3 linked regions of the Arabidopsis thaliana genome follow. The protein of the gene in region 3 interacts with the protein of the main gene of each other region in a biochemical or structural test. Each region holds a gene or a part of one and is shown on either strand. Other genes may lie near its edges. The genes, in order: AHP5, AHP3 and ARR3.

What was found.
Region 1: the proteins of ARR3 (region 3) and AHP5 form a complex in vitro, tested with the Arabidopsis thaliana proteins (one study listed by BioGRID).
Region 2: the proteins of ARR3 (region 3) and AHP3 form a complex in vitro, tested with the Arabidopsis thaliana proteins (one study listed by BioGRID).

Annotation. Positions count from the first base shown.
Region 1 is NC_003070.9:845,942-850,632, reverse strand, and holds AHP5 (histidine-containing phosphotransfer factor 5), read right to left. Parts: upstream 2,841-4,691; 5' UTR 2,475-2,840; coding exon 2,406-2,474; intron 2,267-2,405; coding exon 2,136-2,266; intron 1,992-2,135; coding exon 1,920-1,991; intron 1,826-1,919; coding exon 1,754-1,825; intron 1,636-1,753; coding exon 1,563-1,635; coding exon of another isoform or gene 1,506-1,562; exon of another isoform or gene 1,455-1,505; coding exon 1,398-1,454; 3' UTR 1,012-1,397; downstream 1-1,011. Other genes in the region: 2A6 (2-oxoglutarate (2OG) and Fe(II)-dependent oxygenase superfamily protein), read left to right, coding at 4,059-4,681. UniProt on the Arabidopsis thaliana protein: Functions as a two-component phosphorelay mediator between cytokinin sensor histidine kinases and response regulators (B-type ARRs). Plays an important role in propagating cytokinin signal transduction through the multistep His-to-Asp phosphorelay.
Region 2 is NC_003076.8:15,747,156-15,751,850, forward strand, and holds AHP3 (histidine-containing phosphotransmitter 3), read left to right. Parts: upstream 1-1,575; 5' UTR 1,576-1,638; coding exon 1,639-1,851; intron 1,852-2,340; coding exon 2,341-2,471; intron 2,472-2,552; coding exon 2,553-2,624; intron 2,625-2,716; coding exon 2,717-2,788; intron 2,789-2,887; coding exon 2,888-2,960; intron 2,961-3,039; coding exon 3,040-3,093; 3' UTR 3,094-3,736; downstream 3,737-4,695. Other genes in the region: AT5G39350 (Tetratricopeptide repeat (TPR)-like superfamily protein), read left to right, coding at 3,774-4,695.
Region 3 is NC_003070.9:22,064,919-22,069,501, forward strand, and holds ARR3 (response regulator 3), read right to left. Parts: upstream 2,316-4,583; 5' UTR 2,254-2,315; coding exon 1,803-2,253; intron 1,726-1,802; coding exon 1,649-1,725; intron 1,577-1,648; coding exon 1,499-1,576; intron 1,420-1,498; coding exon 1,349-1,419; intron 1,271-1,348; coding exon 976-1,270; 3' UTR 699-975; downstream 1-698. Other genes in the region: AT1G59950 (NAD(P)-linked oxidoreductase superfamily protein), read right to left, coding at 3,115-3,342, 3,748-3,927, 4,045-4,288. UniProt on the Arabidopsis thaliana protein: Functions as a response regulator involved in His-to-Asp phosphorelay signal transduction system. Phosphorylation of the Asp residue in the receiver domain activates the ability of the protein to promote the transcription of target genes.

The sequences.
Region 1 (4,691 bases), about 21 Mb from region 3:
ATAGCTCGATATATACCTCTACTGTACAATCTTTTGCCTTGTGTACGTATATTAGCAGATTGTCTCTACTTTTGATGTGCATTAATTAGTTTCATAAGTGTAACTACCGTTTTCTGAAAATAATTAACTCATAGCGTACATCTAAATACGTTTCAAATAATGATTCGCTACTGATTCACATATACCAACCATGCATAATAAAAATGATTTAGTATTCATTCTAAGAGAGACTAGGTAGTGATGAGTAGACCAAATTAGATTTATGAAAAGAAAACTTGGCTTTGCAAGAAAGCCAAAGCAATACGTTCCAATCATAATGAACAAAATTAAAAAGGTCTAAACCCTAAGATGGTCCGCACTACGAGACAATTAACGCACTCGTTTTGGGACTCTTGTGTTTGTTTGGTGTGTCGTCGAATCCTCTCTCCATAGAAGGTAAGATCACATAGTAACCGATATAAGATTTGCTTTGACTTTTGAATCGGTTTCATGAAGAACCCTAAAACCAACCATGTTATAAGGATATTACAAAATTATTTTAAAAACATTGGTTGAGAGAAATAAAAATGATGAAGATGGATATGATAAAATGAAGGATAGAGGAGAAAAGCTTTGTTATTATTTGTTACATTACACGCCTCCATGCCTTCAATTTATGTTTCATTAGTCTCTTTCACTTCACATACTCTTCCTTTAAAAAAAAAAAAATGCTCCACCTAGTGATTACCATAGACACATGGCTTCACATTTTTTATTCCACTTATAAACAATCTATTGATAATTCTTCGACATTTTCTTTTTATTTCATTCCTAGTTTGAGGTAATTCGGACATTATATTAAATACATACCTAACAAGACATGCCCAATCCTTTCTCAATCTATTGTCACAATCATGTCTTATAAGCCCTATAACAATAATGTTGATAAAAGAGACCATGGAATACCGTTAACAAAATAAAGAGACCATGGAATCGTGTTATCCATAATTCAAACAAATCATTCTTGATTAATCCACACATAATGAAATCGTCTAAAGTGCTAACTAGTACCCGCATGCTTTACGGCTCAAATCAAAATCATGAATCCAATAGAGTATATCAGATTCAGAATAATGCTGAGAATTCTAAGTCATGATGGTCAGAACAAAGGCTCCAAATGGTGGTTGCATTGTGACAGGAATACATATGGACATGTCTATTTATAGACTAATAATTCAATTTTTACTCTTAGAACTCAATTAAGAGTCTAAACAAGACACGATATCTGGCCAGGGACAGTGTTGCTGAACCTCATTAATCAATATAAAACATAACAACAACAACAAAACTACAGAGGAGTTTCGGTTTCATTTGTGTCATCAGCCTTGAACATTTGCATAATCGAGAAACGCATCGGTCTAATTTATATCCACTTGAGGAATTGTACCTCCAGCTTGGAGGATCTGTTTCTCTAACTGCAACAACATAACATAACAGAAACAGAAGAATGAGAAGTAGCAAAAGGCTCAGTAAAAAGAATACACAAGCAGAACAAGTAGGTTTTCGCAAAGTTTAAAACTCACATTAAAGAGATCCTGAAGTTTAGTCTTTAACATCTTATATTCATAATCCACCTGCTGTAAACACCTTAGACACCTGTGCCAGATATCATTATCACAATTTGTGTGTGAATTAGAAGAATAGCTTCTCATATAATAAAAAAGTTTAGAGATCCAATAACATTTTGCATCAACAAGCTAAAAAATATACTCACCCTTCACGGTTCTGAACATCGCAACATTCCTTGAAAGATATGCACACATTTTTCACCCTCCTTGCACCGACACTGAGTACAAAGCAGAGACTGAGCCATTAAAATCAATGTAGTTTGGTCACTTAAAACTAGAAAAGCAAATTTAGCAGTGTTCACTGTGACAAACCTGGAGCTACTACCCTTGAGTTGATGAACACCTGAATCCACCTGTTTGAAATCCACATTATCTGGCCGCTCCCTAATGTTTATAATAAACTCATAAAATGCTGTCATGAATATATGAAGCTAATTTACACCCTCAAAAATGAATATGAAGGAGGATTAGAGACAAAGTCCCATGTTAGATAAAAAAGAGAAGCCTAAGAGAGTAAGCAAAGCTTACAGGGATATAGACATGGTATTAATAAGCTTGGAACAGTCGTCGAAGAATAGAGAGACAACTTCAGCTACAAAATCAGGGGTTCCTTCATCTTGCAACTTTCTCAACTCTGAGAACTGATTATCCAGAAATCCCTTCAAAACAACAACATATTATATCATCTTTATAAAAAAAATAAAAAAATTCAAATTCACACATAACTGCACCTTAAGCTTATCTAAGCCCAAAAGTGAGAATCCAGCCAAAGTAAGAAAAGTTTGGTTAGGAACGAACCTGTTGATAAAGAGAAACGATGTAGTCTTGAAATTGTCTCTGCAACTGAGCAACGACGATGGTGTTCATAGCTAAAGTTTACCAAGAACCAGACTTGTAAACAAAGATGGTAAGAGCTTCTCAAACATACATATACCAAAAACAAACAACGGATACGGTGAACTGTATTTCGACGGTTCCGAGATCGATCTAATCGGAGGTTTTTGGCTTAATTTAAAACAGATCCAACAACAACTAGGCGAAAAGACCAAAGAACAAACTTCCAACTTAACTAAGAGATTCCAAATTCAAAATCGGAGCGACACAGAGAGAGATGATGATGAATCTGATCGGAGCGTCGAAAGTTATAATTTATTCCACGTTCCGTTGACTGATTTTGACTTAAATATCAAATGGAGGGTTATTTTTGTAAATGACTATATTGTAGGAATTAATCAAGTACGTAAATAATATTTTAGTTTGTGGGGTGCAAATCTGATTTTATAGATAGGGAAGTTGCTAGCATGCGTTCTCCACAAACGAGATATCTTTTTTTTTTTTTTTTAAAAAAAAAGGTCCAGTCCCAATTGGGCTTAGGCCCGGAATTACAATCGTCCACAGTTACAAAACAGGAAAAATCCGGTCACCGGAAAAAGAGAACCAGAGGTGGATTTGGGCAGTGGAACGGAGGCAGCAAATAGATCTATTAGTACCGTCGTATACAAGGCCCACTACTTTGCAACACAACCACCGGAACGAGATCATTGGCCGAAGTATACGAGTCCTGCCGCAAATCTCTTACCAATGAGCTGGCCGGACCTGCAACAAACCTAACGGAAAAAACCCAGTTTCCGACACTCCGCCACCCAATTTGGTCGAGTCCCCAACCTCGCAAAACGACCACGCATTTCCAAGCCTCTGACCTCCAAAACCTTAGATCTGAAAATTTTCCAAAAGCAAAGCAACCTTCAATCCGGATTGATGGAGACAAAAAACGGAGGCTAAAGAAGGGTGATGGCTCAGACAACCCTTCAGCAACCGGAACCCGCAACAGCCATCTCAGATCCAGTTTGTTAACCATCAAACACGCACTGAAAACCCACCAATCCACAGCGTCTTCCGCCACAGCTACAGCGTCTAACCAAGTGGTTGAACCAAGAAAGACTTCACCGATCTCCACCGACGTCCATAACCAGGAAGAAACGGAAGAGAAGCCTCTCATCCACCGAGAAAGGGCCACCGCTGCCACGCTTACCGGAAAAACCACACCACTCCAATGCCGGAGAAGATAGCTTGCCTTACTCCTGCTTTGTCTTGCAAATTCATAACCTAAGATGAAGAACAGAGGCAGAAAAAACTAGATCTGTAAAAACTGGAAAAAACTTCAAAGAGAGAGAAAATGAACAGTAGCGGAACGATTGTCCAAAGTCCTCCAAACGAGATATCTTTAAATGTTGTTTTGCTAATTAGTGGCGTTTCGAGAGCTAGGCGAGCAACAATGGCGATGAGATTTAATATGGTAAGTGTGTAGTTAATTAACAAAAGTTCAAACCGGATGCTATTCTTACTTGTAAAGACAAACGACCAATTAAGAATCCAAATTTTAATATAGGAATTGAAATAAACTAATGGACCTTGTTTTTGGCGATTCATTTCTTTATTTGTTATCTTAATATGGGTCACGATTCCTTTTGTTATTTAATTGTATTAAGATGTGCATTAAGATGTGGAATAATAGCACTTATGCAAATCTGTGCATTGCAAAAAAAAGAAAGAAGAAGCAAGATGGAGTCAAGTGATCGTTCAAGTCAAGCAAAAGCTTTCGACGAGACAAAAACCGGCGTGAAAGGGCTTGTGGCTTCGGGAATCAAAGAGATTCCAGCCATGTTCCATACACCTCCGGATACTCTAACAAGCCTGAAACAAACAGCACCACCTTCGCAGCAGCTGACGATCCCCACGGTGGATCTGAAAGGAGGAAGCATGGATTTGATATCGCGGCGGAGCGTGGTGGAGAAGATTGGAGACGCTGCGGAGAGATGGGGATTCTTCCAGGTGGTGAATCATGGGATCTCGGTGGAGGTGATGGAGAGGATGAAAGAAGGGATTCGCAGGTTTCACGAGCAGGACCCGGAAGTGAAGAAACGGTTCTACTCTAGGGATCACACTAGAGATGTGCTTTACTACAGCAACATCGATCTCCACACTTGTAATAAGGCTGCAAATTGGAGAGATACGCTCGCCTGTTACATGGCCCCCGATCCTCCCAAGTTACAGGACTTGCCCGCGGTTTGCGGGTAACGTTTC
Region 2 (4,695 bases), on a different chromosome or scaffold from region 3:
CATTCTTAATTCTCTCTCTTTACGAACAATAGATATGTTCTAGAGCAATATCATGGAGTTGTACGTGGTGTTATGATGATTTCTACACGAGGCATTTATCCTTGACGGACAAGTTGCAATTATTTTCCTCCATGATATTCAATTTTTGGGATGGTATTTTCATTCTCCACAAATGTTGCATCTATGAGATCAATATGCATGCAAGATCTCTAATTAATGGTGTGGTGCATGGTCTGCCCTCCCAAAGGTGGATCTTTATCTTTTGTGTTGTGATAGTAAATTTGTATATATATATCTAGTGTTTAAAAATTTGCTAAGCATGGGGTGATCCAATACCTACCTATTAAAAACGTTTAATCCGAACATAGCTACACACGGACCGAATGTTCTTTTTTGGAGTTTTTTATAATTTTATTAAGATTTTGGGACATTTAGATCTCTTTAAATTAATATTTACTAAATTAAAGAGAGTAGTTAAGATCCTTACCAATAAACGAGAGAGATGTTAAGATCCGTCTCATCAAAAAAAGAGAAAGATTTTAAGATCCAAGTCAGGTCACTTTTTTCTTTGGTATTAATCTCACAACTCAATTCTCAACTCAACTCAGGTCACCAAGATTTAACACTTATAATTTTACACTTTGTTTTCTTAATCATTATATACTATCCTAAGCATATATATGAATCTTTCACCATAAGTTATACCATTTATATATGCTAATATTTTCTAAATAAACCTTACAAATTTGTTGGCGCTAACAACCATTGTTTAATTTTGCTTGGGGTGGCTCTAGTTATATTATATAGACCTTAATTTTGCAGGAGGTATGTAACACCTCATATTGCTTCAGCTTAGCAATTCATATATAGCCAAGACGTGTGGACTTCTCACCCAAAGTTTCCTAGTTTAAATGTGAATGCCTCTAAACAAAAGTTCTTGCTTTCGATGTCTAAACTTAGATGTGTTACCGAATAAAGCCAGATTTACCTCCTTTGACCTTACTATATAGCCAGCTCGCTGCCTCCGCAACTCTCAAAATGACACTCGCGATCATATTAGTTGTTTCCAACAAATTGAAAAATAAAACATTTCACTCAAACAAAAAAAGATCTAAACAGCCGAAAAAACAAGTCCAATATCAAAATCTGTTATAGCAAAAAAAAAGAAGGTAGAGTATTTTGGTAAGAAAGAACTCTAAATGCCTCTACGATATAATATTAATAAGTATGTTACCAAACAACTTAATATTAGTGCAAAAAACCCTTTAGTTTGTCATAAACAGCAAAATCTGCCACTATAAGTTGTTTTCATGAGGTCAAGTTGATGAGAGTATATGATTCTCTGAAGCTCATGTCAAAAGAATAGAACCAATGTTCTTCAGTCTTGTCCACACGGTAATGCTTCAAATGAACTTGTCTATAGAGAATCTTCCAGCGTGAGAGATTCTTAGTGTTGGTGGATTGACATAACAGAAACATACCTAACATTGGAAAATGCTAAAAACTTTGAGTGAATGAATGAATGTATCAATCATGAATTAGAGATTCCATTTTTTATGGCCTAAATCAATGTTTCTCACTTGTAAAAGTTGTCTTTTTGACAACTAATCATATTCTAATTCTTTTTCTCTGCCCTTTATGGAAAAGCTTTGTGACTATTTCTTTATTTATTTCTGTCCAAATTTGATGATCTGTAAGAATCTCTTTATTGGGATTGCAATTTCAAACAAACTTTACATCTTCTTCTTCTCTCTGCTTTTGCCTTCACGACGAGTAGAGAGAGCCATGGACACACTCATTGCTCAGTTACAGAGACGATTTTGTGATTTCACCATTAGTCTCTATCACCAGGTAAATTTTAGCATCTCTCCTTAGAGATTCAGGATAAAAGTGATTAACTTTCTTGTGAAGAGAACTTAGAAATTGTGGTTGAGTTTTAAAGTCTCCTTTTTAGAGATGGCTCTCCACAGTCTTTAGGGTTCTTATTGAAGCTTTTAAATTGGAAACTGGGGATTTAAGAGTTAGGTTTACTGATTGTGAAATGGGTTATTGTCTCCATTTTCAAAGTCGTCTCCTTTCAAAGTGATTACTTTTCTGGTGAAGCAAACTTTGAATTTGTGGTTACGTTTTTAGGGTTCTTATTGAAGCTTGTATATGGCAATTGGGGATTTTGGGAATTGGGTTTAGGGTCTGTGAAATGGGTTATTGTCTCTTTTTCAAAGTTGTCTTCTTTTTAGGGATGACTACTCTCTACTGTTTTTAGGGTACTTGGAGCTTGTATTTGGAATTGGGAATTTTGTGAAATGGGTTTCTGAGATTCTTTGTGTTGGTTTTGTAAAGGGGTTTTTGGATGATCAATTCACAGAATTGAAAAAGCTGCAAGATGAATGTAGTCCTGATTTTGTGGCTGAGGTTGTTACTCTCTTCTTTGAAGACTGTGAGAAGCTTATCAGTAATATGGCTAGAGCTTTGTAAGTTTACTTTTCTTTTACGAGTTTAATCATCAAAAGCTAGCAGATATGGTTTAATGATTGGTTCATATGTATACTCAGAGATCAGACAGGAAATGTAGATTTCAAACTGGTAGGTTCTAGTGTTCATCAACTCAAAGGTAGTAGCTCAAGGTATGTCACATTTGATCTGTATAGTCTCGGTCCTTTAGTCTAATCTCGGATCTAGTCTCAGTGAAGAGCTCCTTTCTTGTTGTTCTATGAAGTGTTGGTGCCAAGAGAGTCAAAGGTCTTTGTGTTACCCTCAAGGAGTGTTGCGACTCTCAGAACTATGAAGGGTAAGCTTTTGTTTTCCGGTTCTTCTTTAAGAGAATCTCAAATTTCTGCTATGTTCATTTGATTGTTGAAACTAATTTGGGAAACAATCTCTGTTATAGGTGTGTGAGATGTTTGCAGCAAGTGGATATTGAGTACAAGACATTAAAAGCAAAGCTTCAAGATCTGTTCAATGTGAGTGAAAAGCTACGTGAATTGTGTCGGTTTTTTGCTTTCGAATTTCGTGAATAAGTCTTGCATTGTTTTGTTGCAGCTTGAGCAACAGATTGTCCAAGCTGGTGGTAGAATCCCTCAAGTGGATATATAAACAATAGACCTATCGACAACAGAACAGCAAGATGATGATCATCCAGTTGCATTCTTCAGACGAGTACTACTCGAATTTGTTGCTTCGAAAAAGAAAAAAAACTCTTGAGAATGTGTGGAAAAGAGAGGTGATTGTTGTTCATAGATCAATACTATGTATCTTTTGTATCATCATCTCTTGAATCTTGGTACTGATCTTATCTGAATAGTATGAATTTGCATCTCATAAGACCATATGAACAAGAGTGAGTTATGTATTCAAAAACAGGAATATTTCCAGACACAGAAGCATCATAAGAAGCAGAAAATTCAAGGAGAGCTACACAAGACAACGCGCAAAAGAATAGACTCTGAAAGCAAAAAGCTTCACGAAGACATTGGCAAAAGGAACAAACCAAGAACAAACACTCACAAGTGTCCCCTGTGAAAGCTGAAACCTAAAGTTAAACCCATCAGCTAATGTTAAGAAAGAAAACGTCACGCAGTTCTCACTGTGAAATACAAAACGTCAACGCAGTCTCACTGTCAAATACAAACGTCACGCAGTTCTTACTGTAAAATAAGAAAACGTCAAGCATTTCTCACTGTAAAATACAAACGTCACGCAGTTTGGTTAGATATGTCGTTGCTTTTAAAAAATTGCGACCCAATAGATTTTTCAACAGTCGTTTTTTTCTTTAAATGAGTGAAGTTTTGCGCAGAGCCAACAACGCACTTAGTAGCGTCAAGCAATACCAATCTCTCTTGAATCACTTTGCAGCTACTCAATCAATTTCAAAAACCAAAGCTTTACACTGCCACGTCATCACCGGCGGTCGAGTTTCCGGCCACATTCTCTCGACTCTCTCCGTAACTTATGCGTTATGTGGTCACATCACTTATGCACGGAAGCTGTTCGAGGAAATGCCTCAAAGCTCTTTGCTTTCTTATAACATTGTTATTAGAATGTACGTGCGTGAAGGATTGTATCACGATGCGATTAGCGTGTTTATTAGGATGGTTAGTGAGGGGGTTAAGTGTGTTCCGGATGGTTATACATACCCTTTTGTTGCTAAAGCTGCTGGAGAATTGAAATCGATGAAATTGGGGTTGGTTGTTCATGGGAGGATCTTGAGGAGTTGGTTTGGTAGGGATAAGTATGTGCAGAACGCGTTGTTAGCGATGTATATGAACTTTGGGAAGGTTGAAATGGCGAGGGATGTGTTTGATGTGATGAAGAACCGTGATGTGATTTCGTGGAACACGATGATTAGTGGGTATTATAGGAATGGTTATATGAATGATGCGTTAATGATGTTTGATTGGATGGTTAATGAAAGTGTTGATCTTGACCATGCTACGATTGTTTCTATGTTGCCTGTTTGTGGTCACTTGAAGGATTTGGAGATGGGGAGGAATGTTCATAAGTTGGTGGAAGAGAAGCGGTTAGGGGATAAAATTGAGGTGAAGAATGCGTTGGTGAATATGTACTTGAAATGTGGTCGTATGGATGAAGCGAGATTTGTTTTTGACAGGATGGAACGAAGGGATGTGATCACGTGGACTTGTATGATTAACGGATATACTGAAGATGGAGATGTGGAAAACGCTTTAGAGTTGTGTA
Region 3 (4,583 bases):
GATTAGGAGCTAAAATGTATACTTAATGTTTTTAGTAGACCTCCTAAGATTAGATATGAATCCATAATCCCCATGATTACATGTATTTGGACAACATTTTATTTCTTCTAATTTGTAGCCATGCATGACCACATAACCTTGAGTTAGATATGATTCATATGAATCATAATTAATCCCCATAATACCATGGTTATTCAACCGTTTTCATTTCTAATTCGTAGCCATGCATGCGTGACCACATGGTCATGGTTTAGCGACATGTGATTGTGAAATATGTGGTCGTAGTCACCAACTTAGCCACTACCTATTCAATGATTAAAATTAAAAAGACCACCAACATGTTCAACATAAGTTGTTAGTTATTATAGGTGTAAATATTACAAGCCGAGTTTCAATAGTATGTGTAGTTTGCAAATGATTTTATTACTATTTTGTGTAGTCTTCTCTAATAGACAGTTATCACACAAAAATTAGTGGTAGCTAGAGTAAGTAGTTGAAAATATTCATAGAAGCCATGCGGAATATTTGAGAGTACATTTTCAAAAATATATCATAATAATACAAGATTTGGTTCTTAATATCAAAGACTATAGATTAAAGAAAAGTATCCTCAAGTCGGTACATTATTGGATATCATACTATCAAATAAATGCTAATCGCTGGCAAAATCTCAAAAGTGATTAGCAGACGATATGAATACACAGAGGTAAACTGTCACACATTATTTGATTATTATGATATTATTAGAAATAGAAACATTATTTAATTTTAAAATTATCAAATATACGTAATTAAATAAATACAATACTTGTTTTTATAAAAGTTCCTTCGTGAGCAAAGAGACCCCACGTGCAACGATATAAAAAGAGAGAGAGAGATCTATAAGTATAAACTGACGGCGTTCAAGTCAACGTTGCAGTCAATAAAACCGTCAAAAGTAAAAAGTTAACGGAGATCGTTATCACACGGATCTCTCTAAGCTAATCCGGGACTCCTCATCGGCGAATCCACAAGCGAAGTTGCAGACTCCGGCGACATTGTCAACGAATCTTCATCGTCAACCATAGACAGAGGCGATTCCACCGTAGAGTCCGAAGATTCCATCGAGGATGTGGCTGAGAGCGGAGGCGGCGGCGGTGGAGTGGTCAGCTTCCGTTTGTTTCCTTCGGCGGCGACTTTAACGTCTCTCGTCAAGTAACTCCTCAGACGTTTCACGTCGGCGAGTTTCACCGGTTTTAGTAAAAAATCCTCCGCACCTTCTTCAAGACATCTACAACAGATTTATTGATTAAATTTCCGATCACCAAAATCGGAATCAAAAAAAAAAGATTCCGGCGAGAGATTTGACCTGTCGATACGAGTCATTACATTCTCCGACGACATAATTACAACAGGAACTTCCTTAAAACTTGTCGATTCCTGTTTTTTAAGAAAATCAAGAATTGAAAAAAAAAAAAAGTAACAGAATTTGTTTTTATGGCGGGAAAATTTCAGAAACCTTAATCTTTTTCAGAAGCTCGTATCCAGTCATTCCAGGCATACAGTAATCAGTGATGATCAAATCCACCTTCAATCTCTGGTAAAAATAAAGATCAAGATCAGAATCTAGAATCTCAAAATGTTTTAAAACAGAGTTATGAGAGATTACATCGAATTCGACGGCGGCTTTGTCGTCGTCTAATCCTAAGAATTCGAGAGCACGCCATCCGCTATCAACCGCCGTGACTGCATTGAATCATCGCCGGAGAATAAGGCTTTTAAAATGTTAAAGGGGAAAGAGGAAGAATTACTAGTTAAGAAACCTTTGCAGGATGTGATTCGAAGCAATCTTTCGATGACTATTCGATCAACTAGGCTGTCATCAACGGCGAGAACGTGGACTTGATCAGAATCTAGCGGCGGAGATTCAAGTTCTCCGATTCCTATACCGATCATCTCCGACCTTCGTAGACAAGAAACGCCACCGTCTTTGGCCATAGTGAGAAAAGAGTAGGAAATGAAAAGATAGAAGAGAGATATTGCTACTAGTTCCTCTCTACTTTGTTTTATATTTTCGTTGTTATACTCTTCTATATCAAATCTTTTTATAGGTGGATCATTTTCTACTTCATTTCTTTTACAAAATATTTTCTTATTCCAAGTGACGATTAATGACACAAAACGGTACGTACCTTTTTTTCTTTTTTGGGATGGGGGCAGCAAGAAATAGCGAACTAATCTGAATAGGTAAAGAAAGATAAATTCGAAGTTCATGATAAGATATAGATAGAAAGTACCGGTTTTGCTTCTTCTTACTTTTAGGATTGGTACTAAATAGATATACTTGGATTACCAACCAAACCCATAACAAGGGTTGTTTGGTATGTATGTTACTGATTTAATGTTCAAATTCGTCTTTTTGTTTCTCACATGTACTATGCTTTTGTTGTTGTTGTTGTTGTTGTTAAAAACACATTTACTATGTTCAGAAAATGATTTTTATTTTCTTCTCTCTATTTTGATGGACCCTTGAGCTTAATTTGAAGAAAAATCTAATGCATAGCTATGTCTTGTCTCCACTTATAAATACAAACTCTTAGACCATCATAAAATATGATGACCAAAACCATAACAAGTAAATAAAAAGGTTTATAGACAAAGTGAAAGAAACATAAAATCCAAAATCAAGCTTTCGTTTTCTATCAGAAATCCCGTTCAGAAAGACTTTATCGCAATGATGAACAGAGGTTTTTCACAAGATATTGTACATATCATTATGTGATTAATTTAGATGTTTAAAGATTTTGGGGTCCATGTAACATGCTTTGAAAGAAGCTTAAATATTAAAAAAAAAAAAAAAAAGATAAAAGAAAAGGAGAAACATTTCAAACTCAAAATTGCTCTTAAAAGACTTGCATATTCACAAAAGAAAAAAATAAGAAGAAACATTTCTCAAGGTTATAAATTAGAAATGCAACTTTACAAACTAAATAATCAAGACATTTATTTTACAACTACAACATTTATGAAGGTTATACATTGGAAATGCAACTTAACAAAACAAATTAATGCAACTTTACAAACTAAATAATCAAGACATTATATTACAACTGCCCCATAATTCACACATAGTGATCAGATCTCACCGTCCCACATCTCGGTGACAGATTTTATAGGACCTTTCTCCGAGATGTAAACCTCTCCGTCAACGATCCTGCTCTGAGAAATCTCCGTCGAGATTCTCTGTTTCTCCTCCTCTGTCAAAGACCAATCAAATATCTTCAGATTCTCTTCCAATCTGTCTTTCCTAAAGCTCTTCACCACCATGCTCACTCCTTCCTCGTAAGCCCATCTCATACTCACCTAGTCAATTGTCTATTACAACTCTAAAAATGAGCTTTAAATACTTTCATTCCCCAAAACTTCTCCACATCACTCTATTACCCGTTTAAAGAGTGAGTTTTTTTTTTTTTTTTTTTTGGGTCAACGAGAGTGAGTGCACAATATAAAAATGTATCAAACAAATAAATAAGTCAATAGTCCAAAATTAAATATCGCATAAAGATAGTTTTAGCCATTATCACAATAAAAATAAAACTAATTTTCAAATGAATATAACAATGACTTTTGTTTACCGATTTGTTAAAATATTTTCTGTAATTAACAAAATTTTCCTTTAAATTACGACTGTTTTTTTTAATATTTATACGTTAAAAGAAATTTAAAAATGTTTTCGTAAATAATTTTAAAACTGTCTTTGGAGAGTACCTGAGCTACTGTTTTTCCCTTTGCCTCAGCAATTTCTTTGAGAACATCAGACTCCATGATTTTGTGAGTTCCCCAAAACGCTCCTCTCGATCCCAACACCGAATAAGCTGTCACAACAATGCCTTTCGACTTACATAACTCCCTCAGTTTTCTCTGTTGCCATACTGGACTCATCTCCACCTTTTTCACATTATCCACAAACAAATGTTTCAAATTATTTCACCAATCCAATATTTTCTTATAAAAAAAAGGTTGAACTTATTTGATAAATTAAATAAGAGAGAATTTTAAATATACTTGATTGACACTAGGTGGGATTTTTGCTATTGAAAGGATGTGTTGGAGTTTCTTGCATGAGAAGTTGCTTACTCCTATACACTTTGCAACTCCGAGTCTCTGACACTCTTCCATCTCAGACCAAACTGTTTCATAATCCATTGGCAAAAAGTCATCTTCTTCTATAGGGAACTTGTATTTACCAGGTTTCGAGCTAACCGGCCAGTGGATTAGGTAGAGATCGAGATAGTCCAATTTAAGAGTTCTACAAAACATGATATGAAAATGATGATTAAGATCATGCAACCCCGAAATACGCTTTTTGTACTTGGCTTGCAGTCCATAGAAGGCTATCAACAGGAGATCGCATGGTTAAATGGTCGGGAGACGTTACAACGGACTGCATTCTCTGTCAAGGTAACCTCGAAACCCGGGAACACCTTTTCTTTGATTGTGGATACACTTCAGCAGTTTGGGCAGCGCTTGTAAAGGGAATTCTCAAATCGAGATATACTTCCAACTGGACCTCGATAATGGACCACCTCGCTCATGCTCAGCCA